Tamandua tetradactyla: one gene and its partners. The protein of the gene in region 1 purifies or fractionates together with the protein of each later gene. This does not show direct contact. Links are inferred from orthologs where the notes say so. Each region holds a gene or a part of one and is shown in the gene's direction. Other genes may lie near its edges. The genes, in order: COPB1, COPZ1, COPG2 and COPG1.

The links.
Region 2: the proteins of COPB1 (region 1) and COPZ1 fractionate together in Homo sapiens (co-fractionation; 8 studies listed by BioGRID and IntAct, with this or other methods). This does not show direct contact. The link is inferred for Tamandua tetradactyla from reciprocal best matches to the Homo sapiens genes COPB1 and COPZ1.
Region 3: the proteins of COPB1 (region 1) and COPG2 purify together in Homo sapiens (affinity purification with western blotting; 4 studies listed by BioGRID and IntAct, with this or other methods). This does not show direct contact. The link is inferred for Tamandua tetradactyla from reciprocal best matches to the Homo sapiens genes COPB1 and COPG2.
Region 4: the proteins of COPB1 (region 1) and COPG1 fractionate together in Homo sapiens (co-fractionation; 11 studies listed by BioGRID and IntAct, counting the BioPlex papers as one, with this or other methods). This does not show direct contact. The link is inferred for Tamandua tetradactyla from reciprocal best matches to the Homo sapiens genes COPB1 and COPG1.

What each region holds. Positions count from the first base shown.
Region 1 is NC_135334.1:89,871,105-89,878,381, reverse strand, and holds the start of COPB1 (coatomer subunit beta), read left to right. Parts: upstream 1-4,259; 5' UTR 4,260-4,412; intron 4,413-5,143; 5' UTR 5,144-5,200; coding exon 5,201-5,291; intron 5,292-7,277. UniProt on the Homo sapiens protein: The coatomer is a cytosolic protein complex that binds to dilysine motifs and reversibly associates with Golgi non-clathrin-coated vesicles, which further mediate biosynthetic protein transport from the ER, via the Golgi up to the trans Golgi network.
Region 2 is NC_135333.1:115,697,359-115,704,636, forward strand, and holds the start of COPZ1 (coatomer subunit zeta-1), read left to right. Parts: upstream 1-4,272; 5' UTR 4,273-4,368; coding exon 4,369-4,386; exon of another isoform or gene 4,387-5,014; intron 5,015-7,278. UniProt on the Homo sapiens protein: The coatomer is a cytosolic protein complex that binds to dilysine motifs and reversibly associates with Golgi non-clathrin-coated vesicles, which further mediate biosynthetic protein transport from the ER, via the Golgi up to the trans Golgi network.
Region 3 is NC_135327.1:172,420,648-172,427,961, reverse strand, and holds the start of COPG2 (coatomer subunit gamma-2), read left to right. Parts: upstream 1-4,310; 5' UTR 4,311-4,401; coding exon 4,402-4,438; intron 4,439-5,604; coding exon 5,605-5,657; intron 5,658-6,216; coding exon 6,217-6,297; intron 6,298-7,314. Other genes in the region: TSGA13 (testis-specific gene 13 protein), read left to right, coding at 444-643, 1,071-1,198, 3,830-3,996. UniProt on the Homo sapiens protein: The coatomer is a cytosolic protein complex that binds to dilysine motifs and reversibly associates with Golgi non-clathrin-coated vesicles, which further mediate biosynthetic protein transport from the ER, via the Golgi up to the trans Golgi network.
Region 4 is NC_135335.1:31,965,164-31,972,839, reverse strand, and holds the start of COPG1 (coatomer subunit gamma-1), read left to right. Parts: upstream 1-4,675; 5' UTR 4,676-4,801; coding exon 4,802-4,838; intron 4,839-5,810; coding exon 5,811-5,863; intron 5,864-6,304; coding exon 6,305-6,385; intron 6,386-6,642; coding exon 6,643-6,714; intron 6,715-7,208; coding exon 7,209-7,288; intron 7,289-7,676. UniProt on the Homo sapiens protein: The coatomer is a cytosolic protein complex that binds to dilysine motifs and reversibly associates with Golgi non-clathrin-coated vesicles, which further mediate biosynthetic protein transport from the ER, via the Golgi up to the trans Golgi network.

The sequences.
Region 1 (7,277 bases):
TGATCTTTACCATCTATCTTTCTTTCTGATTTCATTTATGTCCCCAGCCCTCCTCCCTCTATCATTCTCACATGCAGCTTCACTCAGTGTTTTAACATAATTACATTACAGTTAGGTAATATTGTGCTGTCCATTTCTGAGTTTTTATATTCAGTCCTGTTGCACAATCTGTATCCCTTCAGCTCCAATTACCCAATATCTCACCCTATTTCTATCTCCTGATGGTCTCTATTACCAAGGAAATATTCCAAGTTTATTCACTAATGTCAATTCATATCAGTGAGACCATACAGTATTTGTCCTTTTCTTTCTGGCTAATCACACTCAGCATAATGTCCTTAAGGTCCATTCATGTTGTTACATACTTCATAACTTTATTCTGTCTTAAAGCTGCATAATATTCCATCTTATGTAAATGTCACAGTTTGTTTAGTCAACTGTGTGTTGATGGACATTTTGGCTGTTTCCATCTCTTGGTAATTGTTAATAATGCTGCTATAAACATTGGTGTGTAAATGTCCATTTGTGTCCTTGCCTCGTGTCCTTTGAGTAGAGACAGCATATAGGTTGGTCCTGTTTTTTAATCCATTCTGTCAGACTATGTCTTTTGATGGGAGAGTTTAATCCATTAACATTCAGTGTTATTACTGCATGGGTGGTACTTTCTTCTACTATTTTGCCTTCTGGGTTTGATATGTCATATCTAATTTTCCTTCTTTTTACCTTTACTCATAGTCTTCCTTTCTACACTCTTCTCCACATCTCTCTCTTCTGTCTTTGCATCTGTCTCTAGTGTTCCCTTTAGTATTTCTTGCAGAGCTGGTCTCTTGGTAACAAATTCTCTCAGTGATTTTTTGTCTGAAAATGTTTTAATTTCTCCCTCATTTTTGAAGGACAATTTTGCTGGATATAGAATTCTTGGTTGGCAGTTTTTCTCTTTTAATAATTTAAATATATTATCCCACTGCCTTCTCGCCTCCATGGTTTCTGCTGAGAGATCTGCGCATAGTCTTATTGGGCTTCCCTTGTATGTGATGGCTTGCTTTTCTCTTGCTGCTTTCAAGATCCTCTCTTTCTCTTTGACCTCTGACATTCTGATTATTAAATATCTTGGAGTATGTCTATTTGGATCTATTCTCTTTGGGGTACGCTGCACTTCTTGGATCTGTAATTTTAAGCCTTTCATAAGAGTTGGGAAATTTTCAGTGATTATTTCCTCCATTAGTTTTTTTCCTCCTTTTCCCTTCTCTTCTCCTTCTGGGACACCCATAACACATATATTCTTGCGCTTCATATTGTCTTTCAATTCCCTGAGTCCCTGCTCATATTTTTTCATTTTTTTCCCTATAGCTTCTGTTTCTTGTCATATTTCAGATGTTCCGTCCTCCAGTTTAGAAACCCTATGTTCTGTCTCTCGAAATCTACCATTGTAGGTTTCCATTGTTTTTTTCATCTCTTCTACTGTGTCTTTCATTCCCATAAGTTCTGTGATTTGTTTTCTCAGACTTTCAGTTTCTTCTTTTTGTTCTTTCCTTGCCTTCTTTATATCCTCCCTCAGTTCATTGATTCGGTTTTTGATGAGGTTTTCCATGTCTGTTCGTACATTCTGAATTAATTGTTTCAGCTCCTGTATGTCATTTGAATTGTTGGTTTGTTCCTTTGACTGGGCCATATCTTCAATTTTCCTAGTGTGATTTGTTATTTTTTGCTGGTGTCTAGGCATTTAATTACCTTAATCAGTTTATTCTGGAGATTGCTTTCACTTCTTTTATCTAGGGTTTTCTTGCTGGATGAATTTGTTGTCTGTTCTTTGACATTCCGTTCAGCTTTATCTGGACCTTTAGCTTAAGTTTTGTTTAACAGAGGAGAATTTTTCAGTTCTTGTTTTCTTGTTTCTTGCCCTGCTTGTGTGGTGCCTTCCCCCCACACACACTTAGGAGGGTCTACTTGGATATTATATACCCCAGCCAGATTTTCCCAGACCAAACTGACCTCCTATCAGGAGGAAAGAGTCACCTGCGTCAGTTTTCCCTGAGGGTGAGACCCAGCAGGTTGAAAGACTTTCCTGTGAAGTCTCTGGACTCTGTTTTTCTTATCCTGCCCTGTGTGTGGCGCTTGTCTGATTGCAGGCCCCACCAGCATAAGATGATGCAGTACCTTTAACTTTGGCACATTCTCCCTGCTGATGGCGTGGTGGAGACAGAGGAGAGGTTGTAGGCTGGTTTTAATGGCTTCACATTACCGAGCCCTGGTGTCTGAATTCCTTGATGGATGGATTCCACCTGAGCTGGACTTCACCCTTCCTCTGGGGAAGGCACAGCCTCCAGACAAGCCCCCAAAAGAGCTCACTTCTGCCTATGCCTTGGGCAGTTGCAGCCTGAAAAGGCCTATCACTGTATCCAGAGGCAGTCAAGCCTTTGTAGATACACAGCCACAAAAACCTGTTTCCTTCCTTTTTTTCCCCCCTCCCCTTTTTCTGTCAGTACTCCCCCTTTGGCACCGGGGCAAAAATGAGCAACCTCCACTTTGATCAGGTTCACCTAAGCTGGGGGCCTATTTTTAGTAGTCAGAATTTGTTAATTATTTTCACAATTGGCGTTTGATTGTGCCCAGTCCCTGCTGCTGGTAAAGTCCTTTCCTTTCCCCTCTGGGAAGCGGCCTGTGGGGGAGGGGCGCTGGCCACCGCAGCTTTGGGAACTCACGGTTCTGGGGGGTACTCGCAGCTGGTCCAGCTGGTCCAGACTGGGGTACGCTGTGTGTTTGGTCACTGACGTGGCCCCAGGAACTGTTCTGTACTGTTTCTGCTTATTTAGTAGTTGTTCTGGAGGACGAACTAAAACGTGCACGTTGTTAAAGCCGCCATCTTGACCTGGAAGGTGGCCTTGATTCTTGAAGAAGATTGTATAACTATATAGCATTTACAATATGACTGCGTGATTATGAAAACCTTGTGTCTGATGCTCCTTTTAATCAGGGTATGGACAGATGAGTAAAACAATAAGGACAAAAATAAATATGGGGAGGGAATGGGTAAAAAAATTGGTTAGATTGAGATACTAGTGGTCAATGAGAGGGAGGGTAAGTGGTATGGGATGTATGATTTTTTTTCCTTTTTATTTCTTTTTCTGGAGTGAAGTAAATGTTCAAAAATGATCATGGTGATGAATACACAACTATGGTATGATACTGTGAACCACTGATTGTATACTTTGGATGTTCTAGTTTGCTAGCTGCTGAAATGCAATATACCAGAAATGGAATGGCTTTTAAAAAGGGGAATGTAATAAATTGGTAGTTTACAGTTCTAAGGCCAAGAAAATGTCTCAATTAAAGCAAACTTATAGAAATGTCCAATCAAAGGCATCCAGGAAAAGATATCTTGGTTCAGGATTTCTCTCTCAAGTGAGAAGGCACATGGTGAACGCAGTCAGAGTTTCTCTCTCATCTGGAAAGGCACATGGTAAACATAGTCAGGGTTCCTCTCTCACCTACAAGGGCACATAGCGAACTCAGTGTTTCCTTGCATCCACAAGGATTTGCTCAATTCTTCAAATATTTGGTTATTAATAATCGGCCAGGAAACCTTCTTTTGTGGGGGTAGGGGATCACAGACAGGCAAAAAGAGATTGTTTAATTGTATCTGTAGCAATTAGTTTTGTGGGGAAGATAAAACACTTTTAAAACAGTTACTGTCGATTCCCTTTGACCATAAAATAATTTTAATTTCCTGGATGCTCAGAATCACAAACGGAAGCATTACTAAATAAAGAGCAGAAATCATACCGGTGCGACTCGGACTTTGATATTTAAGCTACTCTCGCCGAACTGCAAAGAAGGCGAGATCAAACAACTGAAGATGTTAGGAACTGAAAAAGATCTAGCAGATAATACAGCGTTCCTTATTACAAATACAGAAATTACCTTCCCAAACAGTAATCAATTACTTTCTTAATTCGTGGGTGAACTAGAAAACAATCCCGGGCTTCCAGCTCTCAGTCCAGTGCTTCCTCTGGACCCAACAGCCATAAAGTAAGTCTCCCCTCTCTACGCGTTTCCTCCCCACGGCTGTTCTAGTTCCTGGAAAAGGGAACGATTTCTAAGTGGCGTGTGAGGAACCACAGCGCTGACTTCAGCGCTTGGCCTGCAGGGAAAACTTTATGTGTTTCTACTTTCCTTTGCGGCTAAAACCAACAGCGGACCGGAGAAGTAAACGATATAATTGGCGGCGCGCAACCGCAGAACGGAGACGGCATGGCCTCTCTGACTTGCCGTAGACACTAGATAGCTGCAGGTCTCGGTCGTTTTCCCCTCCCCTTCCACGTCAGCCTGGGACTCTAGGCCCGCTGCAGCCGCTGTTTGGAGCCGGAATAGACCGTCCTGCCGTTGTCCGAGCCGCTGCCCCTCGGAGCCAGGTAGCGGGCCACTAGCCCCCAATCCCAGAGGCATGGCGGGCAACGTAGAGTCTGTGGAACTAGCTTTCTAGCTGAGAGATGCGAAGGGGGTGACTAGGCCGCTGGTGTCGGGGCCTGGCGAAAGGGAACAGGGGGGCTGGGGAGTTCTCGGCCCGAAGCCCCACACCGGCCTGCATGCTGGCCAGGGGTCGTCTCCCTTCCAGGATCCCTGGATTCGCCCTTTCAGGCCCGTACTGGCATTACGGGAGGAAACCGGGCTGGGGATGGGGTGGGGGGCGTGCAGCGCACCGATTGAGGGACTGACTGACGGACGCAGAATTGAGAGCCCAATGGACGGGATAAAAGCGCTTTAAGATTTTGGCAAAGTGTTCATGCAAAGGGTCTCATCAACTTGAGCAGTTCGGATTGTATGTTATGTTAAAGATTTGTGGGGTGGAGCTGAGGGCTGTCACTGTTTTGTGGACTTTAATTGTATAGTACAGCATTCTCAAACCCTGGGCGGGGTACGAGGATGCGATAGGGGATAAATAATATCCCTTAACCTGGGGCTAACTTGTTTTATATTACATTATGATTTATTTTCATAGAGACCCAATAGAGATTGACCCTCCCCTCCTAATATTTTCAAACCATTATGCCCAAGCGAATGAACTTTAGACAGTAAAGGTCACAGTAGTTACTGGTTTGTGTGTGCTTAACATGTAATGATATCTTGTATTTATTTTTTCTAGATTTTCTGGCGTCTGTCAACCTTAAATCTTTTATTGGGTTGATTATAATCGGAAACCATGACGGCTGCTGAGAACGTGTGCTATACGTTAATTAACGTGCCTATGGATTCAGAGCCACCATCGGAAATTAGCTTAAAAAACGATCTAGGTAAACTTTAATAATATTTTGAAAACGAAACGGTAAAAAGCTAAAATATGAAAACAAAAACTCATTAGGATTTCAACTTCCACTGGAAAGACTTACTTTTTGTCTAAATATTTCTTTCTAGGGTCTCTTCAGTAGACCTTCTGTCTTATTAAAGTGAAAACTTGTTACCTTTAGACTTGAGATATTGGGCTTTGGAAGTAGAACATTTCAATTTGCTTAGTAAAACTAAATGAAAATGTTATCGTTTAGTTGTTAGGTATCCTTCTGCATAATGGTTTGTGAAGTTAAATGTGTTATGCTTAAATGAACTGAGAGTTCTCTGTGGGTAGCAGATTGAGGATGTGTATTTGAATGTCTTACTTTCTTTGGGAAGTTAACTTCATATTATGTGGATTATAAAATGAAAAGGACTTTGTTCTTAGGTGAACAAATGAAGTCAACACAGGAATAAAAATGTGTTTTCCGGAAAGGTTTGAGTTCTTCATTTTGAAAACATTTTTTGCAAAGATAAAAACAAGAAAAAATTTAACTTGAATTTTGAAACTATATATTGTGTGTTTGTGACTGTTGAAAAAACACCTCTTAGAAAGTAATGCACTTTGCACTTTCCAAAGTAATGAGCCTTGTTATTTGAACTATTACCATAACTTTAACTTAACCTGTAACTAATGTTTAAAATAGAGTAGCGTGAAATTAATATTTCAGAACTTAAAAGTATCTTTCAGAAGGCAGTTTGCAGTTTGGAAAGAAACTTAACATTTTACTTGCCTGTTCCCCACCTCTTAATCAGCAGTAATGGAATATCTCCTGATTTTTGGGTACTTTGTATTAGATTTCCGTTGGAATCAATTATTAGAGAAGGGAAAAGCAACTCTCTTTTATGACATTTAAACTGATAACATTTTATGCAAAGGCCACGTATATAGTCGTCTTTTTTTTTTTTTAACATTCAGGTAAGATAGTAGAATGGAATGTAAACTAGTGAATAAATTCTCAATACTGTTCTTCTTCTTATAATTTAAAAGTTCATATTAGACTTCAAAAATGCTTATGGTTGTAGCTGGGAAGTTAAAGAAGGAACTCAGTCCTTAACTGGAACAATACTTTTTCTTTAATTCCAGCTGTCTAAACTACCTTCCCCCCACCAATAAATAAACAAGTAGTCTCAAATTTTGTGTATTTTTTTTTTTGCTCATCTCAGAATAATTGAGATGAGAAAAAGTTTAAGAGCTATTTTTCAGTTTTAAGTAACCAGATATATGTATATTTTTTTGGCATGGGCAGTCTCCGGCAATCAAACCCGGATCTCTGGCATAGCAGGCGAGAATACTGCCACTGAGCCACCGCCCAGCAGATAGTTTTTGTTAGGTGAAATATTGAAGTGCTTTAACTATTTTCTTTTCTTTCCCTTCAGAGAGTAGTTGTGAGGTCCAATAACTGTACATTCCTTGGAGTAGGAAGTATTTAGTGTATTTTGGTGAATTCGATTAGTACTTGAGATTTTCCATTTTTTGATAGTGTTCACAGAAAGAAAAAGTTTTGGAAATTTTGAAGATGTGGAAAGAAGCATCCTTCCTTTCACCTCAATTTGAATTGTTGGGGATAAAATGGAAAGTGGGGTGAGGGTTTGAAATATAAGTGGTGTCAATTTTTTATTTTTTGGCAAATTGACCATTAAATTTATTTTTAAAACTTCTAAATTGTTTTAGTGTTAAAAAATTTTTATGCTTTTTGAAATTTGTGTCCTTTATGTCATCAAATATTTAGAAAATTATCTCTCTCTGTTTTTTTTTAAAAATTATTTAGAAAGGGAGCTTTGGAACAAAGAGAGGGAAAGCCTGTGTAAGCTCATTGAATATGACTTTAACTACTTGGAACTTTGCCTTATTTTTCTTATTTTCTTAGTTATTGCTTTCGCCACTGTTAGTTCTCCTGATACTTTGTTTTTGTCATTCTCACTGACTTAAAAATGGAAAATTTGCCTAG
Region 2 (7,278 bases), on another chromosome or scaffold:
CCCTACAATCCATCTATAGAGACAAGGTCTGAATTGATTAAGTAGGATTTCAGAACCAAGGTACAATTCAATGGATTGGGTTTCTGTTCCAGCCAAGTTAATATAATTGATTCTGTTTATATGCACCTCAGCTATTTTATTATAATTGATTGGGTTAGAGCTTGATTGTGTTATGGCTCCAGCCATTTTACTTTAAGAGATTAGGCGAGGTAGAGCTTTGGCTATGTTGATGAAATTACGCTTTCCTGAAACTACATCAAGACTTTTGCTACTTCTACAAACAGTTGATTCTATCCATCACACTTTGACTTCTAATTTCACTTGTGACACATAATCTTTTGGGGAGTTTTTTTTTACTGTCACTGTTTTGTGTGCACTTGAACATAAAGAACTGTGGTGTCTCCCTAGTTAGTCTTTATGCCTTTCACTTGTCCTCTTCTCATCCTACCTGCACACGTGCAGTCAAATTAATGATCTTAAAATTGCTTCCATAAACTCATGTTTCTGCTCAGAAGTGTTCAATTATGTTCAGTTATTTATAAAATAATAAGTAAATACTAAGCATTTAACAGTTTACACACATTTTCTCAAACATTATCTCATTTAATCCTCCCAACTTTATCCCCATTTTATGATAGTCCCTTTTTCATTTATTAGTTTTAAATTGCTTGTTGTAACAAAGTCCTACAGGAACAACATATATAAAGAAAATCTATTGAATAATCCACTCTTTCCATCTCATCCTCTCAGGGTAACCTATGTTAATATTTTTCTTCCATATTTTCCTATATTTTCTCTTTGTCTGGAATGCTCTTCCCCCAAATATCCACATGGCTCATTCTCTAACTTTTTTTAGGTGTCTTATCAAATGTACCCTTCTTAGTAAGGTCTTCTGGGACCATCTTATTGAACCTCTTGCCTCTCCTTCACATCTCACTGTGAAAGGTACCACTCCATATTGTGCAACATAATGGGATCACTCCCGGTTTTCCTTTTTAGTTTTAATTTTTTTCCATAAACCTTATCACCACCTAACTCTTATATAGGTTACTTATTTCTTCGGTTTATTCTCTGCTTCCGCTGCCTAACTACAATGCAAATGCTACAAGGGCAGAGGTACCTGATTGTTTTGTTCACTGCTATAACCCCAGTGCCCAAAGCCAATGCCTGGCACATGGCTGGCATTTGATAAACATTTATTGAAAACATATACAAAGATATTTATGATAGAGTCTTAAAGTTTTTAAATGAAAAAAATAATCAGTTACCCCAACTATTTTGATCAATAGGATTGTCTAGACCACTTAGGTTTTTTTTTTAATTTTTTTGTTAGAGAATTTGTAGGTTTACAGGAAAATAATGCATAAAACACAAAGTTCCCACATACCACCCTATTATTAATACCATGCATTAGTATTGCGACAAATTGTAGCATTTGCTACAATTCATGCAATAACATTTTTATAACTCTTCAATTAACTATAGCCTATTGTTTACAATAGGGTTCACCATGCCATGTTGTCCTATGTGGTTTTTTTTTTCATTTTTATTCTAGTAATATATATAAAACCTAAAATTTCCCCTTTTAACCACGTTCAAATACAGAATTCAATGACGTTAATGATATTCACAATGTCGTGCTGCCATCACCACCATCCATTACCAAAATTTCCATCAACCAAGTTCTGGGGTACCTGATCAAGTTAGCTGGAATACTATGAATGCAGCATCTCAGGTAAAGATTCAGGTGGATATAAGGAAGAAGTGGGCTGAAGTAAACATCACTCAGGAAGAAGGGAGAGGAAACTGAGGTAGGAGAAAATGTGACAAAGGGAAGATTTTCTTTCACATATAACTCCCTCAACTTACCACTATTCATAGACCCTTTGTTAAAAGAGTTCTCTAAGGGATGTGAGGGTAGCTCAGTGGTAGAATTCTCGCCTGCCATGCGGGAGGCCCCATTCGATTCCTGGCCCATGCACTCCCCAAACAAATAAGCAAACAAACAAAAAACCAAACAAAAGCAAAAATTCAACAAATGGTGGTGCAATGAACGGATACTCATATGGAAAAAGAATGAAATGTGACCCCTGCCTTACAGCACACAAATTAAAAAAAGAGTTTCCTATCATCTCTTACTCCTTTACCTCCAAGTAAGCTCCTTTCTAAATAGGTGTAGGAAGGTATCTAAAAATTTCTAAAAACTAGTATCTACCTCATCTGATACCTTATCTGTTAACTGGTTAACTGCCTACAATAAAAAATATCTTATTAAAAACTACCTGGATTTTAAGATTTTTACCTAGATACTCCCCTCTCTGCTCCTTATCACCATCTTTCTGTCCAAACCCCAATATTCAAGCCTAAGCATCCCTGATTGGGCTCATAGTTGGTCAACTGTTTCCCTTCCCATTTTATATGTAGTATCTAATCTGAGTTGTCCCAAAACCTTGGTGGAAAGATCGTCAAGTTGGAGTCTTCTGCTGTGAAATTATTTAGACTGTGCCTCTCCATACTCTTTTCTCAAAGAGGTTGCAGGTTGAGTTACAGATTACAACAAAGAGAGCTCAATTCCAACCTCATCAACTGAAGCCTTGGGGGTGGATCTATGTTTCCTTAAACTATAAGCGTCCAGTTTGAGACTCTGAAGTTCACAGATAATGGACCTTCATGTTTTGTGTCCAGGGCTTAGCATCTCTGCAATTTTAAAGGGACAAGGTGATAAATCAAGTCAGCTCAATCAGGTATAAAAGAAGTAATTTCTCACACGCCAGTCCCTCAATTCCAGATGACTTTCTCTGCCATTTTTCAATTTATATTTGAGACCTGGATTGTTGAGCTTTGTCACTTGGGACTTCATCAGAAAATCATTTACCTTCCTCTTGTTTTTGTTTTTGTTTTTGTTTTTTTATTAGAGAAGTTTTGCTTTACAGAAAAATCATGCAGAAAATACAGGGTTCCTCTATAACCCACTCACGCACATAGCTTTCCTTATTATAAACATTTTGCATTAGTGTGGTACCTTTGTTACAATTGATGAAACATTATTATACTTATAACTATAGACCACAGTTTACATTAATTCACTCTTTGTGTTGTATAGTCCTATGGTTTTTAAAAATTGTTATTCTAGTAACATTTATACAACGTAAAATTTCTCCTTTTTAACCACATTCAAATACATAATTCAGCGATGTTATTGTGCTACCATCACCAGCATCTATTACCAAAACTTTTCCATTGTTTATTTTACTTCTCTCTTACGCCCTCTGACTCTACTCTGAAACTATGAAAAAAAAACTCTTGGGTTGGTTTGGACCTTTTCTTGGAGGGATCCTAAAGACAAAGTTGTCTGAGATGGGAAATATAAATTCCTGTAGGGATAATATAAGGCAATGAGAGGTGCCGAACTACGGGGGTCAGGCACCAAGGAACCAAGGGTTGGGGAAAGCAAACTTGATCAAAACCCTGCCCCATTGTGAAATCTCTGCACTTAGTAAACTTCTCTTTTCTCGTTTTGCAACGGCTTGTCCCTACTGGAAAACCGCAGACACTGCTCCCTGTACCCTCCCTCCCTTGTCCTGGTCCTTTACAAACCCTTTACCCCTCCTATTTTTCTCCTTTCAGGCGTCTAAAGCTCTAACGTCTCATTTCACATCTGACCAAAGGAAACTGTTAATAGAGAAATTCACTGGCTTCTTTTCCTTCCCTGGGTCCTGCAAAGCCTGGGACTCCAACTTAGAGAGATCTTTACCGTGGCGGCCTTGGTTCTTCTAGTTAAAACGCGAGGCATCTAGTGTAGTGGCTCCACTTTGTGGTTGTACAGACTTCCTTTGAGGATGCTTAAATAGCTGACCAAGCCTGGAGGGTGTCAGGCATAGCTGCTCCAGCAACCCGAAGTAACATGGACCTAGGGTGGGCTCTTGGTATAGTGATTAGGATAGGATTCTGTCACCGGCTGCCAGTGCTAAGGGCCAAAAGGTCATAGCGCCCCCTACAGGCAGTGCTGATTAAAGTTACTTAGGCGAGTCGACGGTATCACGTACGCTCTACTCTACCAATCGAAAATTAATAATCGCTTCCTCTGTTCCCCATGGAAACAACCCCGCCCCTGTCACTCTATGCCTCATTCCCTGGAGCGAATTTGGCTTTTTATTGAGTATTCAAGCTGACAATCAAATATCTGAGTTTTCTGGTTGGATATCTTACTTCCGTTGAGAAAGCTAGTACATTGATTGGTCAGTAAGGCAATTCTGGCGTCTGGTGTCCAATGACCCTTATCCTAGGGGGCTGCTTAATGGAGACGTAGAGCCAATCAGCGGCTGCGTTCTTTTTGCGGCTCCACGTCGGCACCAGCTGCGGGGCAAGATGGAGGCGCTGATTTTGGTAGGAGTCGGAGGGGCAGGCGAGATGCTGAGATGTCCATAGGGGCCGGAGTCGGGTTCAGCTCGACTGGAGGGAGGAGAGGGGGCAATTCTGGGTAATCCTCGGGGACCGGAGGTTCTGCTGGCCCTCGGAATAAGCGTGTGGCCTAGCACAGGAGCTAAAGCCTCGGACCGGAGTAGGAAGCCCTGCCGGGGAGAAAGAGGGTCATAGAGTCGGTGAAAAGTTGAAGGGAGCACATGGAGTCCGAGGATACATAGAATTATAAGCGTGCAGGGTTGGGGGCTTCTTTAGATTTTCCCTAATTCTTTACATTGTGGGTGATCTCCTGATCTGAGTTTCCTTAAATATCTAAATTCGCCCCAAATTGTAGGATTAGAGTTTTCTCATCACAAGTTGTGAGTTTGATGGCTATGAGTTTGACATTCCTTGCCGTATTCCTTCAAAAACCGTTTTTCTCCCTACTTCGGTTTCCCGTTAATTCCTGTTATGTCTGTCTGTCTTGATGAAGAGTAAGTTTATTCCACTGAAGTTCTGGAATAGCTCATAGAGTTAGTTTGGATTGTAGAATATTTTTTCCAGATTCTTTATTCTGTTCTCCTTTTTCCCTCCTCATTTAGACTTTTGGAATTCTTACTGTAGGATCTGCGATGCTGACTCTCTCCCTGGATACATGAGAATTGTAGTGGTTAAAGGGGCATGTTAGCCCGTTTTTAATTCATAACATCCATTTTAGTTGTTCAAACCAGTAAAATACCTATTACTCCTTTTGACTGGACCTAAGCATTTCTCTCAAAAATATCCTGTCTTCAATTTGGAAATATATATATATGAATATGAATTTATGATATGATATGAATTTAGTTCCTGGCCTCCTTCCTTGAGTTGAACTCTAGAAAGCTTTCCGGGAGACTTTTCTTTTCCTCCGACTTTATGCACATCCGTATCCAGATCCTCATCATCACGTAGAAGAGACTAACAGGTTTCAGTTTTCCCCTCCTTCAAAACTGGCAAAGGTGGAGATAATTCCTAGATTGTTCAAATCTAGGTAGAAAGCTTAAAATCCAGGTACTTTTAAATATATTTTTAGTAGCAGGCAGTTAACCAGTATCCTTAACCAATTAACAGATAGGATAGATAGATGCTAGGGAATTGGTTTCTTTGGAAGTTTTTAGAAATTTGTAGATACCTTCCTTACATGTTTAGAGGGACCCTGCTTGGCAGTAAAGGAGCAAGAGAAATGATAGTTAGGGTGCCCTTTTAGCAAAGGGTTTATGAATAGTGGTGAATTGAGGGAGTTATATGTGAAAGTCTTCCCTTTGTCACATTTTCTCACACCTCAGTTTCCTCTCCCTTCTTCCTAAGGGACATTTGTTCCAACTCACTTCTTCCTTATATCCACTTGAATCTGTACCTAAGATGCTGCATTCATGGTGTTAGAGCTAACTTGATCAGGTACCCCAGAACTTTGCTTTAAAAATCATACTGAAGTAATCAATGCCTAATGAGTAGGGAGTTTTTGTGTAGGTTGATGGACATTTTGGTAATGGATGGTGGTGATCGCAGCATGACATGGTGAATGTGACTATTACCACTGAAGTGTGTACTTGAAAGTGCTTAAAATGGGAAATTTTATGTTGTATATATGTTACCATAGTAATAATATAATCCTCATGCTTTTTTTTTTATCCTGAGGGACCAATGTAATTATGTTAAATGGGAAATCAAAGTACGAGAAAACTTTGGTTCAACAGGATAAAGATCTAAGGTGAGATACAGTGAGTCCACATTCTTTTCACAGTGAAGATGATGACCTAAGAATTGTGCTTAAGGAAGCACAATATCAAAACTAGGATTAGATTGGATTTATTCAACCTCTAAGATCACATCCCTCTATGATGTTACCAAGATTCTCTCACCATGGGCTTTCTCCGTCCTCTGTATGCAAAATTGTCCTTTCAAACATCACCAACAGATATTAATCCCTGTACTGGTCTCCAGAGATTTTAAGATATTAAATTAGTATTATCTTTCCTTTGGGTTAACTCTTTTCAACATTTTTTGCTCTTTACATACAGTTATTTGGGGCTCTCAATTAAGAATTTAAACACTTTTCTTCACTTTTCCAGCTTTCTCAACTGGAGTTCCATGAGCCTTAATGCCCTAAGGCATCCATTGTAATGAATCAGTCTCTATCCACTGCATCCAGAATGCCATTCATTATGAACCCTCCATTGGGGGAAGTGAGAAAATGGTCACTTAAATAATTTTCTGTGTTATGTAGTTCTGATGAGGAACTTTTGTTGAGAATCAGGTAATATTTCCTAAATCTCTATTCTCTCCTCATTATTGTTACACACTGGTCTACCAAAATTAGCTCCATTTGATTGAGAATCAAACTTCCTTACAGTACCTTTTTTAAATCTCATCCTCTCTTCTGTCTATTCTCAGCCATATCTCCTGATTCTTAGGTCATCATCTTCATTGTGAAAACAATGTAGACTCTCTGTATCTCACCTTAGATCTTTATCCTGTTGAACCAAAGTTTACTGTACCAGCTGAGTGTTTAACAGGCCACTCCCTAGAGAGGGCAAACTCCTTTCAGAGTAACTTTCCTTTTCCTCCTTTCACATTTCTGTTTCCTGGTTTGGCTGGACCTCTGGGGAAATCTGATCAGAAAATATTCTTCTGTCCTCACTCACCTTGACATAGCACACAGTTGTAGAAGAAGTAAAGAGTTGAGAAGAAGGAAAGCGTAAACTAGAGGTGATCAAGTGGAACTATTGATCAAAGTTGGCTCTGATTATGAGAATTTCTTAATCCCAATAGGTTCCCTTCACTTAGGTATGTTAGAATGGGTCACATTTCTTTCCTGAATTAAGTAATCCAGCTCTA
Region 3 (7,314 bases), on another chromosome or scaffold:
TGTTAATAATAGGGTAGTATATGGGAACACTGTATTTTGTGCATGATTTTTCTGTAAAACCACAGCTTCTCTAATAAAATAGCAAAACAAAACAAAAACATCCCATTCCATGGCCTTTTCACTGCAGGCAGAGAGTGGCATGGTGACGAGGCAGCTGATTCTGAGAAATGAATGTACAGCCCCATGGATCTATTGCCCAATTAATTACCAAATATTTGATTTTTCATTAATTGAATCCTCAAAAACAGGGTAACTTCCTATACCATTCACTACAAAGGGCCAGTGGGCAAGTTCAGTCAGTTACTTAGAAAACTGGCCACGCTTTGGACAAGTTATTTAACAATGAAACCGACAGGACTATGCCACTCAAGAAGAGGCTTTTTCTCGTATGAGTTTCTGAGTTTCCACTTCACTATCTGACAGGTTTTACTGCATCATTTTAGGGGAATTGGAACTTTGTCCAGGAACTCCCTCACTTGCAGTTCTTCCCTCTGCTGCAGGAAAGTCATTATCAGCACAAACCCATTGAAAACTTCTGTCTGCCCCTGATGCCTCAAAAGAAAAAGTCAAGACCTGAGCTGAAACCAACCTTCCCGGTGACACTGTTGGACAATTCTGCATCCAAGCGAGAACAGTGGTTTAGGTGAAACCCTGGTTCTTCTTGTACTCATTTTCTTTCCTATCTTTTCCTCATTTGTGTTACTCTCTTCAGTACATTCAACACTTTTTGAAAGTAGGGAATATGTATGACTGTGTAACAATAAGACATCGCTTCCTACATGAGCCTCAACCTCATTTATGTTCTGATAAAAGAGAGTAATGCAAACCAGAGCAGACTATACTTAGTTTGGAGAAAAGGGAGGAGGTTCTAGAGTTTATCCAAAGGTTTACAGTGCTAGGTTCCAGAAGCGTCTCTTGCCACTGAACAATACTCCAACTCTCTTCCAATCAATACCTTCTAGTCATTGTCCCTTCTTATCTCACAGAATTTTTTAAAATGTGGCTGACTTTCAAGTGACTAGTTCCATTAACTTGCCCTAGGATCTACTAAACAAACTTTCTTTGTTAAGGTTTTCCACTGACAATGATTTCAAGAGTGAAGGGAAGTATTCAAAGGTCTATGCTTTGAGGAAACAGAAAAATATGTACCCTCAGCTCACCTTTGCTCCAGTCTCTAAAAGGGATATGAGGAAAGACGGTAAGTTCCTCTCTTGTAAAGCATGGCTTTCTGACTTGAGATGTGGGCTGGAGGTAGAACCTATGGGGACTGGAGATGTAGAAAAATCATCGCATGGTGATACTGAAGACTAGTTTTCCCTTGTAGCAAGGACCTGATGGAGGCTCAAGTGGTGCTAGGCTTTGGACTCTGTTTATATTCTTAAGTTTCAAGAACTTAAGTGTTTACCAAACCACATTATGTATCATTTTGATAGGCTTGCTTTGCCTTATCAATGCATTATGTGTCCCATTATTAGTATTTTTTTAAGAGGATTTTTTTTCTTGATTCTTTTCCTAAGCAAAACCATATCTTTGACATCACAGATTTGATATACTAATTATATAATTTTCTTGACACACATTAAATCAAATTCATAATACCTTAAAATGTTTATCTAGGTATCACCTAAAACCATCCACGCATATTACACTTTGGGGGAAACTGAACTAGAAGGGTCAAAGGATAAGTGTACGAGTCTTGGAGAGCCACAGTCTTTTCCAGGTAGCATGAAGGCATAGGGTAGAAAGGGTTTGGAATAAGGTTGTGTGAGAAAGGGTGAAAAGAGAATGCTCCTCACATATTATTATTAAATTAATGTTAATGGTGGTGGTGGTGGTGGTGGTGGTAGCTACTAGGTGTTGGATACTTGCCAAGCACCAATAATTGCATTTTCAATACGTGAGACAGATAAACCAGATGATGAAGGGCCTTGTATATTACATAAGTAAAGGCTTGAGTTTTATCCAGTAGGCGATTGAAACCCACTGAAGGATTTCCGAGTACTGAATACACATTTATTAGAAGTATAACCGATGGGTCCCTAAACTTCATCAACTTATGGCTTCAAAATAAGGTTCATTTTCTCCTACTGGGTCTCTCAAGTAATTTCTGAGACTCCCTAAAGTATACTTGTTCCTCAGAACCATCCTAGTGATTGCCTAACACCTTTTCCTGCTATTCTCAGGCTAAATAGCACTGTTCTAGAGGTCTGAGTCATAGCATACCATTGCTTAACTGGCTTCTTCAGGTTTCTCTGCTCCTCCTGAGCCTATCTGTCACTGCACTCCAACCCCACCCATTGCCTCTTTTAACTCCCCTATACAGCTAAAACCAAGCTGTTCTGTTACACAAAACTTCATGGGTATAGGGGAAAGTTACAGAACAGTAGTGAGCGATTTATCTTGCACTTAAAGGGGCAACCGTTATGCTTGGTCTCAAACCTAACCTCAGTTCCTTAATATTTCCCAGTATGCTTTCAGCATATTATTTGTTCTTGGGAATCTCCTGGCTTGTGGACGCTCTCTGCCTAGGTCCCTGAGACCCTTTGCCCAAGAAAGAGAAAGAGATTCTCTCTTTCTCCATAGTTTCTTTATTTTCAGCCCCAGAATAAATGACAGTGGGAATATCTACTTCCTTCAAGGGAAACTCTACATGGAAAATATGATCTGGATTTCATAAGCTAGATAAGAAAAAACATATTAGTTGATAGCACATTTGGTAAAATATGAGTTAAATCTTAGATGATACTATATGTAGGATATCAATAGTTCAGCTTAAATCCATATTTGGGAGAAAGAATGTACTTTTGCAAGCACACAATCTTATTACGGACATACCCAATTTACATTCTAAATAGAACACTTAATATTTCAATCTGCAGCATCTACTAGATTTATAGCAATTTTACAGTTACCCTAAAGAAAAAATGAATGGATACTTGTTCCACTCATATACCTAAAGGACCCATTATAGTGCTTTTCCTAAACAATCTTTGTGGAGACCAATGTCTCTACTTCTAGAAAAGGAGATTGCTAGCATATCCCTGCCCCTAATAATGTTCCATGTTTACCAGGCATGCAACTAAAGAACACATAGAGAATGGTTTAGATGGGGCCAGAAAGGCTGGAGAGGACGTTGTCCAAGAGATAGATGATGAGGATCTGTACTAAGGTGATAATGATAGTGGTAGAGATAAGGAACAGATTCAAGGGATATTTAAAAGATAATGCAGGGCAGGCTATGGTGGCTTACTGACAGAGTTCTCGCCTGAGTTCTCGCCTGCCATGCCATAGACCTGGATTCGTTTCCCAGTGCCTGACCATGTGAAAAAAAAAAAAAGATAATGCATACAAAAGTGGAGAGGGACTGGAGAAAGAAAATCTCACAGTGAAAGCTTCCTAAGAATCCACAAAAATTGAAAGAGAATCTGGATAAAAAGTCATGCCATTGAAGTTAAAGACAGGAAAAGTTTCTTAGTTACACTCTCAAAGAACTGGAAACCAACATACACTTTAGTAAAATTCTCAGTGGATCATGAATATACAGGTGAATGCAAGTTAACCAATTAAGAGTTACGCGGCAATATGGTTGAAGATGGAATAATTTGAAAGGGGAGGAATAGAAGAAGTCTAAACTGGCAGTATGTTTAAATCAGGTTTTGATGAGGGCTAGGAATCCAAACTCACAAAGACTGGGAAAGGTCCAAAATCTACCGCTCGCTTAGAGTAAAAACCAGCTTTCTGGCCCTTCCAAGTCTCTTCACGCTTCACATTCCCTCTAGACCCTCCGGAAGCACACCTTCACCTAACGGTGCCATGTGCTTTATTGCAGTTTCCAAGCCAGTGAGTGAAATACCGACTTCCAAGGTGATTTGGGAACCACTAACCCTTTCATCGCTCCTGGGAGAGAAGCCCACTAGAACTGTGCCAGGAAACAGCACCTTCCTCAATGGAAGGGTCCAGCAGTGGATTATAAAAACAGCCACTGTGGTTAAGTGAAAAACTCTTCAAGCCTCCCACCTCCCACTCCGGAGACTGAGGGGGCCGGCAAAGTCTGCTATCGAGTACATGCCAATCAAATAAAATCACATTCCTGCCTGCTCCGGGCGTAAAAGTGGGCTGGCAAGCACCTCGTTCCGACCTCTCAGGCTCTGGCGGCAACGCCAGCGCCTCGCACCGCCTCCGCCCGGGTAGGGAAGGAGCAGAGGGCGTGGCCGCGGGGGAACGGGGAGAAGAGCCGCCGCTGACAGCCGGGGTAGGAGGGCGGACCTTCTACCGGAGTGACGGGAAAGCAGCCCAACAGGCTCGAGAGCCCGGGGTCGGCCTTCCTGCAGCCTCTTCCGCTCGCCGGCTGCGGCGCCCTGAACGGTGGTGGTGGGTCTGGGCGCTGGGAAGTCGTCCAAGATGATTAAAAAATTCGACAAGAAGGACGAGGAGTCTGGTACGCGCTGGCCTTTTTTACGGCCACCCTCACCTGCGGGAGGGCCCCTTTCTCCGCCTCCCGCCACCTGCTTTTTGGGACTGCGGACCTGGGGGCGGGGCGCGGGTACCGGTGTGAGAGGGGCCGGAGTTTGAGCCCAGCCCCTCCCCTACGCTCCAGCGGGGGGACCCTGCCAGTAGCCCCTCCCCCGGGCCCCAGAGCCTCCCCTTGGGCGGCCGAGTCGCGCGCTCGCGACCCAGGCACTCGGGCGCAACCTCGTGCGCTGCTACCCGTGCACCGCTTGGGGGTTCGCAGCGGCCCCTCCCGCCCCAGGTGCCCTGTCCCCGGGCGCCGAACCGTCGGCGGCGTAGCCCCTCCGCGCCTCCTCCCCCCTGCTCCGGGGGCGTGGGTTGCCTGGAGAGGGGGCGGGCCCATGGCAGGTGGCTGAAGGTGTGAGCGTGCGCTTTTGAGTGGCCGTGGGTGCTCCTGGTGTTAGTGGGAGCCCCGTTTTGGGGTTTGGGATTGACTGGACAGTGTGTATGTGAAGTTTGTTGCGCTTCATACCTTATAGTCTTCCCTGGGACATTCTCTCTGTCTACTTCCCAGGGGGCAAGACAGTCCCATGGTACATAGCTCACTTCATGCTCTGACTCCCAGAAGTGAGTTTGGACTTACACCCACCCGCCTTTGATCCAGTGGAAGTGGGGAAGATGCCAAGTCATCCCAAAACCAGTATGCAGTGCTTGATAGCCACACTCACAAAACACGATGGAGGGCTCAGTAAACCTCATGATCCCTTCCAGGGTTTAAGTTTGTGTGATTCTCTCTTAGATTATTCATTTCTATCTCTCAGTAAATTTTATAAGCACAAAAAATAGTGCTTGCCTTTAGGAAGACCAAAGTGCTTTACTATAATATCCTTAATATTATGTGGAGATGACATATATTTGTATCATTCATGTAAAAAGAGGGGAGGAAAAGAAGACGCTGCAAAAGAGAAGTCCAATATCTTAAAGCAAGAATCAAAATAATTTTATCCAATTTGTATTCATATTATAATGACCACTGCCATATCCAAGTGGCCACCTCACTTAGGTGCGATTTCCCAAGTACTAGATAACCTTCTGTTGAATGTAAATAAGTTTGTGTAGGACAGTTAAAGGCTTTTTTTTTTCTTTGTAATGTAGGTAGTAGCTCCAATCCTTTTCAGCATCTGGAGAAGAGTGCTGTCTTACAGGAGGTATGGCTTAGAACTACATTGTGCTCTTTCTTACATATTCTATCTTAGAATTGTGGGCGTATAACCCCTGGGATGTTGTGATCAGGATATCCAAAATAAGATGGAATTAGGGAATATAACTGAGTTCAGAGACTAGAGACTTGAAGGAAAAGGAAGAGGGGTTACTTGCCATAGAAGAGTCTAGAGCTTATAGAAATGCACGGGCATGCAGGCTCTGCTATGCATTGGGAATTTTAAATAAAATGTCAGGAGAGATGTTTGGTGCAAGGTTATTAAAGGAAGTTATAGGTGTTAAGCTTTTTGTAGCCATATGATGTAGATAAACCTTGTGATTCTTATTTAAGAGATAAAGCTCACAAAATTAAGTAGTGGACCTAAGAGAATGAATTAGAAGGTATAAAATGGGAAAATGAGGATCACATCTAATAATTTATCTAATAATTTATTTTAATAAAATATAATAAATTGAAAACTGTAAGCCATTGACATTATTTGGACATTGTGATATTTTATATATAATCTCTTTTATTAAAGCTGGTTTTTTATGTTTGTTTTATAGGCTCGTATATTCAATGAAACTCCGATCAATCCCAGAAGATGTTTGCATATTCTTACTAAGATTCTTTACTTACTCAACCAGGTAAATTATTTTCATTTTCCTCAGATTTGTGTCTTGGAGTAAAAATATGTGCCATGCAGTGAACTACTTTCTGGAAAGTATAATTATTTATTTTTTAAAAATTCATTTAAGTTTTAAAAGTACAGTATTTGATTAACATACTAATATGTAAAATGTCTCGAGGACAGGGACTATCACATATACTTGTTTTGTATTCGTGAGCTACTAAGCTAGCTAACTATATAGTAGGTTCTCAATAAATGCTTATTGATTTGAATTTAACAAGTATTAGTTAATGTTAGAACATGTACCTTATGTACCTCTAAAAATAAAGTGCAAAGTCTTAGACAAATTCCAGACTTATATCTTTACTCTTTTTTTTGTAGATTAGACCATAGCTTTTATTTTAATCATTGATTTGATTTTAATATTTTGATTTGTATTTACTATTCCTACTTAATTGTTAACTAGCAGTATGATTCTGGGCAACTAACTTAACTGTCCTTTTATTTTCTCTTCTGTAAATGGGGATCATGCCAATACCTGTTTTATGAAGTTGTAATGATTAAATGAAATTATAAATGTAAGAACTGAGAGTTCAGCACATAGTAAGCATTCAGAAATAATTTTTATTCTGTCATTCAGCAAATGTTTATTGCATACCTGCTATGTCCTATGCACTGTTCTAGGTACTGAGCATGGAGCAGACAAAATATGCTCTCATGGAATTTGGATTCTTCTTGCTATTATTGTCATTAATTGTATTTTTCTTATGTTTTTCTTTTTTGCCTAAGGCTAATAAAATCTCATGACATATCTAGGGAGTTAGAAATGTGATTTTGTTTCTTAGATTCATGCACACCCACTTACCTTGAGTGGTTTACATTTGTACTAAGAAGACTGGTTTCCAGTTTGAATTGTGAATATTTTATCTTTACTCTGAATCATGACTGAAGACATCATCCAGAGATTTAATAAATGTTTGCTGTTTACAAATGCAGACTGAGAAATAAACACATGCTTTTAAATAAAATATAT
Region 4 (7,676 bases), on another chromosome or scaffold:
TAGAGTAGTTGCTACTTATTGCTCACTAGGTCCAATCAACATGATAGCATCCATATAATGGACCAGTGTGATGTCTTGTGGGAGGGAGAAAAGATCAAGGTCCCTGCGGACAAAGATTACGACATAGGGCTGGAGAGTTGATATACCCCTGAGGTAGGACAGTGAGTGCATACTGCTGGCCTTGTCACCTGAATGCAAACTGTTTTTTGGTGGTCCTTACTGACAGTTATTGAGTAAAAAAAAGCGTTTGCCAGACCAACAGCTGCATACCAGGTACCAGGCAATGTGTTGATTTGCTCAAGCAATGATACTACATCTGGAACAGTAGCTGTAATTGCAGTCACCACATGGTTAAGTTTAAAATAATCAACTGTCATCCTCCATGACCCACCTGTTTTCTGCACAGGCCAAATAGGAGAGTTGAATGAGGATGTGGTGAGAATCACCATCCCTGCATCCTTCAAGTCCTTAAGAGAGGCACCAGTTTCTTCAATTCCTCCAGGAATCCGGTACTGCTTCTGATTTACTATTTTGCTAGGTAGGGGCAATTCTAGTGGCTTCCACTTGGCCTTTCCTACCATAATAGCCCTCATTCCACAAGACAGAGAACCTATGTGGGAATTCTACCAATTGCTGAGTACGTCAATTCCAATTATGCATTCTGGAACTGGAGAAATAACTACAGAATGGGTCCAGGGGCCCAATGGACCCACTGGGAGGTGGACCTGAGCTAAAACTCCATCGATGACCTGACCTCCATAAGCCTGGACCTGAGTGACATTTTGGCTCTCCTGGAACTAGTGTCACTTCTGAGTCAGTGTCTAATAGTCCCCGACATAGTTGATCATATCCTTTTCCCCAGTGCACAATGACCCTGGTAAAAGGTCTTAGGTCTCCTTGGGGAAGGCTGAGAGGAAGGTTAACTATACAAATTTGGGGCAGTGTAAAATGGTGCTTCCCCAAGGGTACCTGGCCCTCCCCTCCTTCAAGGAGCTCTGGGTCTGTAAACTGTCTCAAATTTGGGAATTGATTAAAACGACCGTGACTCACTGTTTTTGTAATCCAAGTTAGACTTCTGTTCATTTGACTTAGAATTTTGCTTTTATAGCTCAAATAAGAATTTAGTAGACAGCCCATCTATTTTACTTCTAGTTATTCCATGATCTTCCAGCCAACGCCACACGTCTCTGCGAGTCAGATTATTCTGACTGCTGCCTTGAGTCTGCTGTCCGTTCTGATAGCCACATTCACCTTGTCTTTGGCGATTAACTGTTGCCACCTGGCTTCTGCCAACTCAGGATCTGATCATCCGCATGGTGTTTAAGGATGCCAGCTCAGTGACAGCAGTTCCCACAGTAGTATCTGAACTACAGAGAAGGGTGACTACAGAGATGACGGATTTATTCTCAAGGTCTGGTGAAAGGTGTGTCCTCTGGACATTCCTGGAGTGTGTGAGCAGGTCTTCCATGATAAATCCACTCTAAATTCCAATCTCTCTAGCCTCTGGATCACCTCATCTATATTATATCAGGGCAGTTCTGGCATTTCGACCTCAGGTAATATTGGCCACCTTTGGATCCATGTTTCACTCAACCATCCAAACAAACTGTTAATGCCCCTTCTAACCCCTAGAGCTACAATACTGAATGTAGAATCTCTGCTTAGTGGGCCCATATCAATTAATTCAGCTTCATACAACTTTATATTCCTTCCATCATTATCCCACACCCTTAATAGCCATTCCCACACATATTCCCCTGAATTTCTATCTATATAGATTAAAAAACTCATGCAGCTCCTTTGGAGATAGCTTACTTCCTCATGGTCACACTTTGTACCTCACCTTTTAGGGCCTGTTGGGACTTCAGTCTAGTTATAGGTCTTGAAGAAAAGGAAGATGGTTGGGGTGGGTCATGAAAAGATGTAGAAGTATCTTTCAAGCCAACCACCTCAGGGCATTCCACTATAGTTTCTTCTGGTGAAACGGGACCAATTGCTCCAGACAGAGAAGTGAGAGCTATTTCCCTAGGGGAGGTGGTTACAGGGTTAGCAGGCACTGAAAGGTTAATCCCTTTAAGTGGAGATTGGATGGCAGACTCCTCTGGGCAGATCGGAAACTGGGAAGCTGTTTCCTCAAGGCAGTCCATTGCAGGTCTATCTAGCAAAGGCTCAGCAGATTCCAGGGATCCCATCTCCCCATCACCATCATTTTATCAAGCCATATATCCCCATACCACGTTTCAGAATCCCATTCTTTCCCAATCAAAGCCTTTAAGGGCAGACACCCTGCAAGGTTGAAATTTTACTTTATGTTATAAATCTGCTACTCTAACAATGAAGCTCTGTGTCTGGTTTTCAGAGATGTCAAGCTTGTGACCACAGGAAATAAGATTTTCTTTTAGGGCACACATAGAAACTTTTACATAGTTCATATGGGACTTAGGTTTCAAATTTGAAGCCTTCAGCTCATCCCTTTCGCTCACCAACGTATCCAGTATATCAAATAACAACCAACCAACATCATAGCTCTTAATTCGACAAAACTCTGAAAAGGTGTCAAAAACACTCTCACCCTGAGCCTTTCCTTGCATAAGTGTACAATTAACAGAATCTAATGGTGATATTTTGCGTATCTCTCTTGCCAGCTCACCCCATAGACTGTCAGTGCCATCTTGATTATTTGTGCCTAACAGAAAACCAATTGTTAAAATCCATTTTTAAGATTCTGTTTTTCAAGAATCACTCCCCGTACCAAGCTTTATTAGTCAGGGCTCCCTAGAAAAAGAGAACCAAGAGGAGACATCTGTAAATATGAGATTTATAAAGGTGTCTCATATGACCATAGGAACAGAAGAGTCAAAAATCAGTAGGCAGTCTCTCTCTCAGCCAACACGACAAGCAAACTCACTGCCCTCTCCCTCTCTAAGTGGGACATGACTCCCAGGGGTGTGGACCTTCCTGGCAACGTGGGACAGAGATCCTGGAATGAGCTGGGAATCAGCATCAAGGGATTGAGAAAACCTTCCGGACGGAAAGGGGATGAGCAAAATGAGACAAAATAAAGTGTCAATGGCTGAGAGATTCCAAGCAGAGTCGAGAGGTTATCCTGGAGGTTATTCTTACGCATTAAACAGATATCACCTTTTTAGTTAAGGTGCAATGGAGAGGCTGGAGGGAACTGCCTGAAAATGTAGAGCTGTGTTCCAGTAGTTATGTTTCTTGAAGATGATTGTATAATGATATAGCTTTCGCAATGTGACTGTGTAACTGTGAAAACCTTGTGTCTGATGCTCCTTTTATCTACCTTGTCAACAAAGGAGTAGAACATATGGAATAAAAATAAATAATAGGGAGAACAAATGCTAAAGTAAATTTAGTTTAAATGCTAGTGATCAATGAAAGCAAGGGGTAAGGGGTATGGTAGGTATAATCTTTTTTTTTTCTTTCCTGTGTTCCTTTTATTTCTTTTTCTATTGTCTTTTTATTTATTTTTCTGAATTAATGCAAATGTTCTAAGAAATAATGAATATGCAACTAAGTGATGATATTGTGAATTACTGATTATGTATGTTGTTTTATTTTTGCTTCTTTATTTTTTTAAATTAATAAATAATTTTTTTTTAAAAAGATGCATAATGTTTCATCCGTTGAGCGTAGCGTTCCATACTTTCCTTACTTACGGACAGTTAGGGTGGGGTATCTTGCCGCAAACTGCTGCAGTGCACAACCTCATTACCTTTTTTTGGGCTAGGGGTGGGGTTACAGGTTACAGGTTTTGAACATCATTTAACTCTTGACAATCTCCCTTTCCCGCGAAACGTGCACGCCCGCTCCCCAACCCCCCAGCCTCCGAGTCCCCCAGCATCAGCACCGCCCAATCCAAAAGGCTGTCCCCGCCTCCATCACTCCAGCACACCCCCTTTGCTGTCGATCCCCCACCCCCACATTTCTTCGCCTGCGGACCTTTGCCCGGTCTCCTGCCTCTCCGCGCGCTGCCCCCTCCCGAGGCTAGCTGGTGGCACGCGTCGCATCGCTGGACCATGCCGACTCAACTCGCCGCAGCGAATGCAATTTGGCACGTTGGCACTCACTGTCCTTACCCTAGCTTCGATTTGGGACGTTGGCACGTACTGTCCCGAGCAGGTTTCCAGAAAGGTGAACCCCGGGTGATGTGTCATTTTCCCTTTTCCATCCCTTCTCGCCCACAGCGCTAGGCGGCGCGGGTAGTTGGCTCTGGGTGAGTACTAGCAATCAAAGTGACGCTGAAGTCTCGTGCTGAGGCTTAGTTAAATCTCTGAAAGTTAATAAAGTACAAAACAGTTTGCACCGGGTGCAGGTGTGATCGGGATTAGGTGGATATGATTATAATAGCAACAGCACACATTCAACAAGCGCTCGTTGCGCACTTACTATTATTCGCTGCGGTGACCAAAAGACAGTGAAAGCAATAAAGTGTAAATATAGTATGTCAGGTGGTGACTTGAGCTAAGGAGAAGAATCAAGCAGGAAGGAGCATTGAAAGTGAGAAATGACGCAGAGATGGGGCGCCCGCCCACCCTCCGAGTCTCCGCCTCTTGGGCCTCTAGCCTCTAGTAAGGACAGGGTTAATGCCGGCCTCGGCTGCGGCGGCCGGGATGTGCGCAGGCGCAGAGCACGGTTTGCGCCTGCGCAGAGCGCAAGGCGACGTGGCTGGACCGAACCCCGGAAGTGGCCCCTGTGGAACAACCGCGGGACCGCTGCTCCGAGCCCTGCCAGGCCCGCGTAGTATTTATTGCTGCGTTGCGCCCCCGTCGGCATCGCCATGCTGAAGAAATTCGACAAGAAGGACGAGGAGTCGGGTGAGGGACCCCAGGCCTGGGTTTGAGGGAGGCCGGACCTCCACGCAAGCCCCCAGGACCCTCCCTGGGAATCCTCTTTAAGGTGCCTCTGACCTGAGCTAGAGGCCGAGGCCCAGTGAGGGGTTGGGGCTTGTGCGAAGATCCAAGACTGGACGGTGGCAGGCCTCGGGGACCGAGCATCCTTCAAGAGACCCCTTCCCCTCGTAAGCTCGGACCGCTACTCGCCGGGTGACCTTGGACAAGTCACGCTCTTCTCTGGGCCTCAGTTTTCCCATCTGTCAGAGGAGAGAGTCGGGCTGGCTACTCCCTTGCTACTTTCTTCGTCCAATCTCTCTGAATTTGCCGGCGCTGCGTTGATGCTTGTCCAAGCTAGGGCATGGTCAGCGGAGTCAGTGTGCTGTGAACCCTAATTCCATTCATTCATTTGTTCAACAAACATATTGAGCGCTTACTGTATGCAACGCTTTGTACAGTCCTGATACAGTCCTAGAACAAGGTAGACAGTTGTCCCCTGGGCTGGACACATTAGAATGGAATAAACAAGACAGTCACAGGTCTAGTAGAGGAGAAGAACATCAATCAGATAATCATACACATGATTAATTACTGAGATGACATCTGCTATTAAGGAAACCTAGTAATGGGACGGTTAGCCCCTGGCACGTAGTAGGGACTCAAATAGTACGGGGCTGCATAAATGAATGCAAAAAGTGACATACACCATGAGAGGCACAGAAGAAGGGCTGTACCAGCAGGGCTGCTAGATGACTGTAAGTGGTTTGGGATAGAGTGGATTCCCCTTGTAGCAGAGTAGTAGGATCTATGGACAGATTGTAGAGCCTTAATTGCATTCATGAGAACTTTGAAGTTTACCAGGTAGCCAGTAAAGAAATCTTTCCCTTTCCTCTGTCTCTGAGAGTTTTAAATTCAGAAATAGAACCAGTATTCATTCTTCTCCATTACTGATTGTAGGTGGAGGCTCCAACCCATTCCAACACCTTGAGAAGAGTACAGTACTTCAGGAGGCAAGTGTCATTTGTTCCCCTTTATCTTACATCATAAATGTTCATGGTTGAGAAGATGAAAATATGAACACATTCAGACAGCTGATTTAGAGAACTATGAGGGAGAAAACCAGTGCCTGGAAAAGCAGAAAAACTTTTGTTCTCAAAGAGAATTCATTAAGCCTACGTTTTTGTTGATGATATTGGTTGTTTCTTCTTTGAGTTAACAAGTGATTACTAAGTATTTGCTGGTTAGTAGGTTGGCCCATCTCTAACTAATATTTAGGGAAGATTTCAGAAGTTGATTTTAGATGGATTGAGGGAAAAACCTCTTCCTTTATGAAAATAAGCTTGTCAAGACAGGTGTATTGATTTACCTTAGGACCTGCCAGAACCTTGAATGTGCTTGAGAATTGTCAGTGGAAGGGATAGAAGATAATAGTCTTGGTCACTTCTTCTCAGGCACGTGTATTTAATGAAACTCCCATCAACCCTCGAAAATGTGCCCACATCCTCACCAAGATCCTTTACCTCATAAACCAGGTAATAGGGTGAACCTGGGAGTGCAAAAAAAAATGGTGCTGGGGGAGGTTTGGGAGAGGGATATATGAATTATCACACACTTAGGTGATTTGACAGCTTTTGGTCCTGCTTTGGGTCTCCCGGAGCATCCAATCCTGTTGTGTTGCCTTTGATGGCACCTCTGCGGGGTCCAAAGAGCTGGCATGGGGTGATGTGACGAAAAAAAAGCCATCTGGCCCCTCCTTCCTAGGCTAAGGCTTCTTTCTTTTTTACCACAGGGGGAGCATCTGGGCACCACTGAAGCAACCGAAGCCTTCTTTGCTATGACCAAGCTCTTTCAGTCCAATGATGTAAGTACCCTGGCCCCAGTTTTTCTTGAGGGGGAGCAGCTTATAAGAAGGTGGTGGGAATAGAAAAAAAAATAGGAGGAATAAAGGTTAAAATCTGTTGAGTAGATGGAAATACTAGTGGTCAATTAGAGGGAGGGGTAAGGGGCATGGTATATGTGAGTTTTTTTTTTTTCTTTTTATTTCTTTTTCTGAAGTGATACAAATGTTCTGAAAAATGATCATGGTAATGAATATACTGCTATGTGATGATATTATGAGCCATTGATTGTATATCATACTAAGAATGTATGTTAAGAATGTTCATGTTTGTATGTTGTTTTGGTTTGATAATACAAAATAAATTAAAAAAAAAAAAAAAAAGATGATGGGAGGACCAAGGAAAGCTGGCTTTGCCAGGCACTGTGGGCTGCCTTTGAGAGATCAGGGTTTTTTTTTTCCTAACTCTGGCCCTCATGGTGAGCCAGGGATGATAGGGCTTTTCTCATCTCTCACAGCCCACACTCCGTCGGATGTGCTATCTGACTATCAAGGAAATGTCTTGCATCGCAGAGGATGTCATCATTGTCACCAGCAGGCAAGTTGTTGGTGCTGTGGGTGGTTCTTCCGATGGGTTCCATGGACACAGAGGACATTTTTCCTCTTATGTGTACCAGAGTATGAGACTTTTGGTTGGCATAGTCATCTGGCACTCTTGCCCATTCTGTCTGCCTCATCCTCCAGTTACTGGTGCCAACCCCATGGTGGCCTGCAGGGTATGCTGTTTCCCTTTTAATTATCTGGCTTTAACTTGGACACAAACCTCTTCCTCCCTTTGAAGTACACAGAGCCAGAAGAAGCAAGAATAGCAGGAGAACATGGGTTGGGAGATGTTTATAGTAGTCCAGGCAAGCGTGATAACCTTGGACCTAGAGAGGAGTAGAAGAAGGGTGTGGGTTCAGGGGAGCAGGCCTGTAACTGAGGCG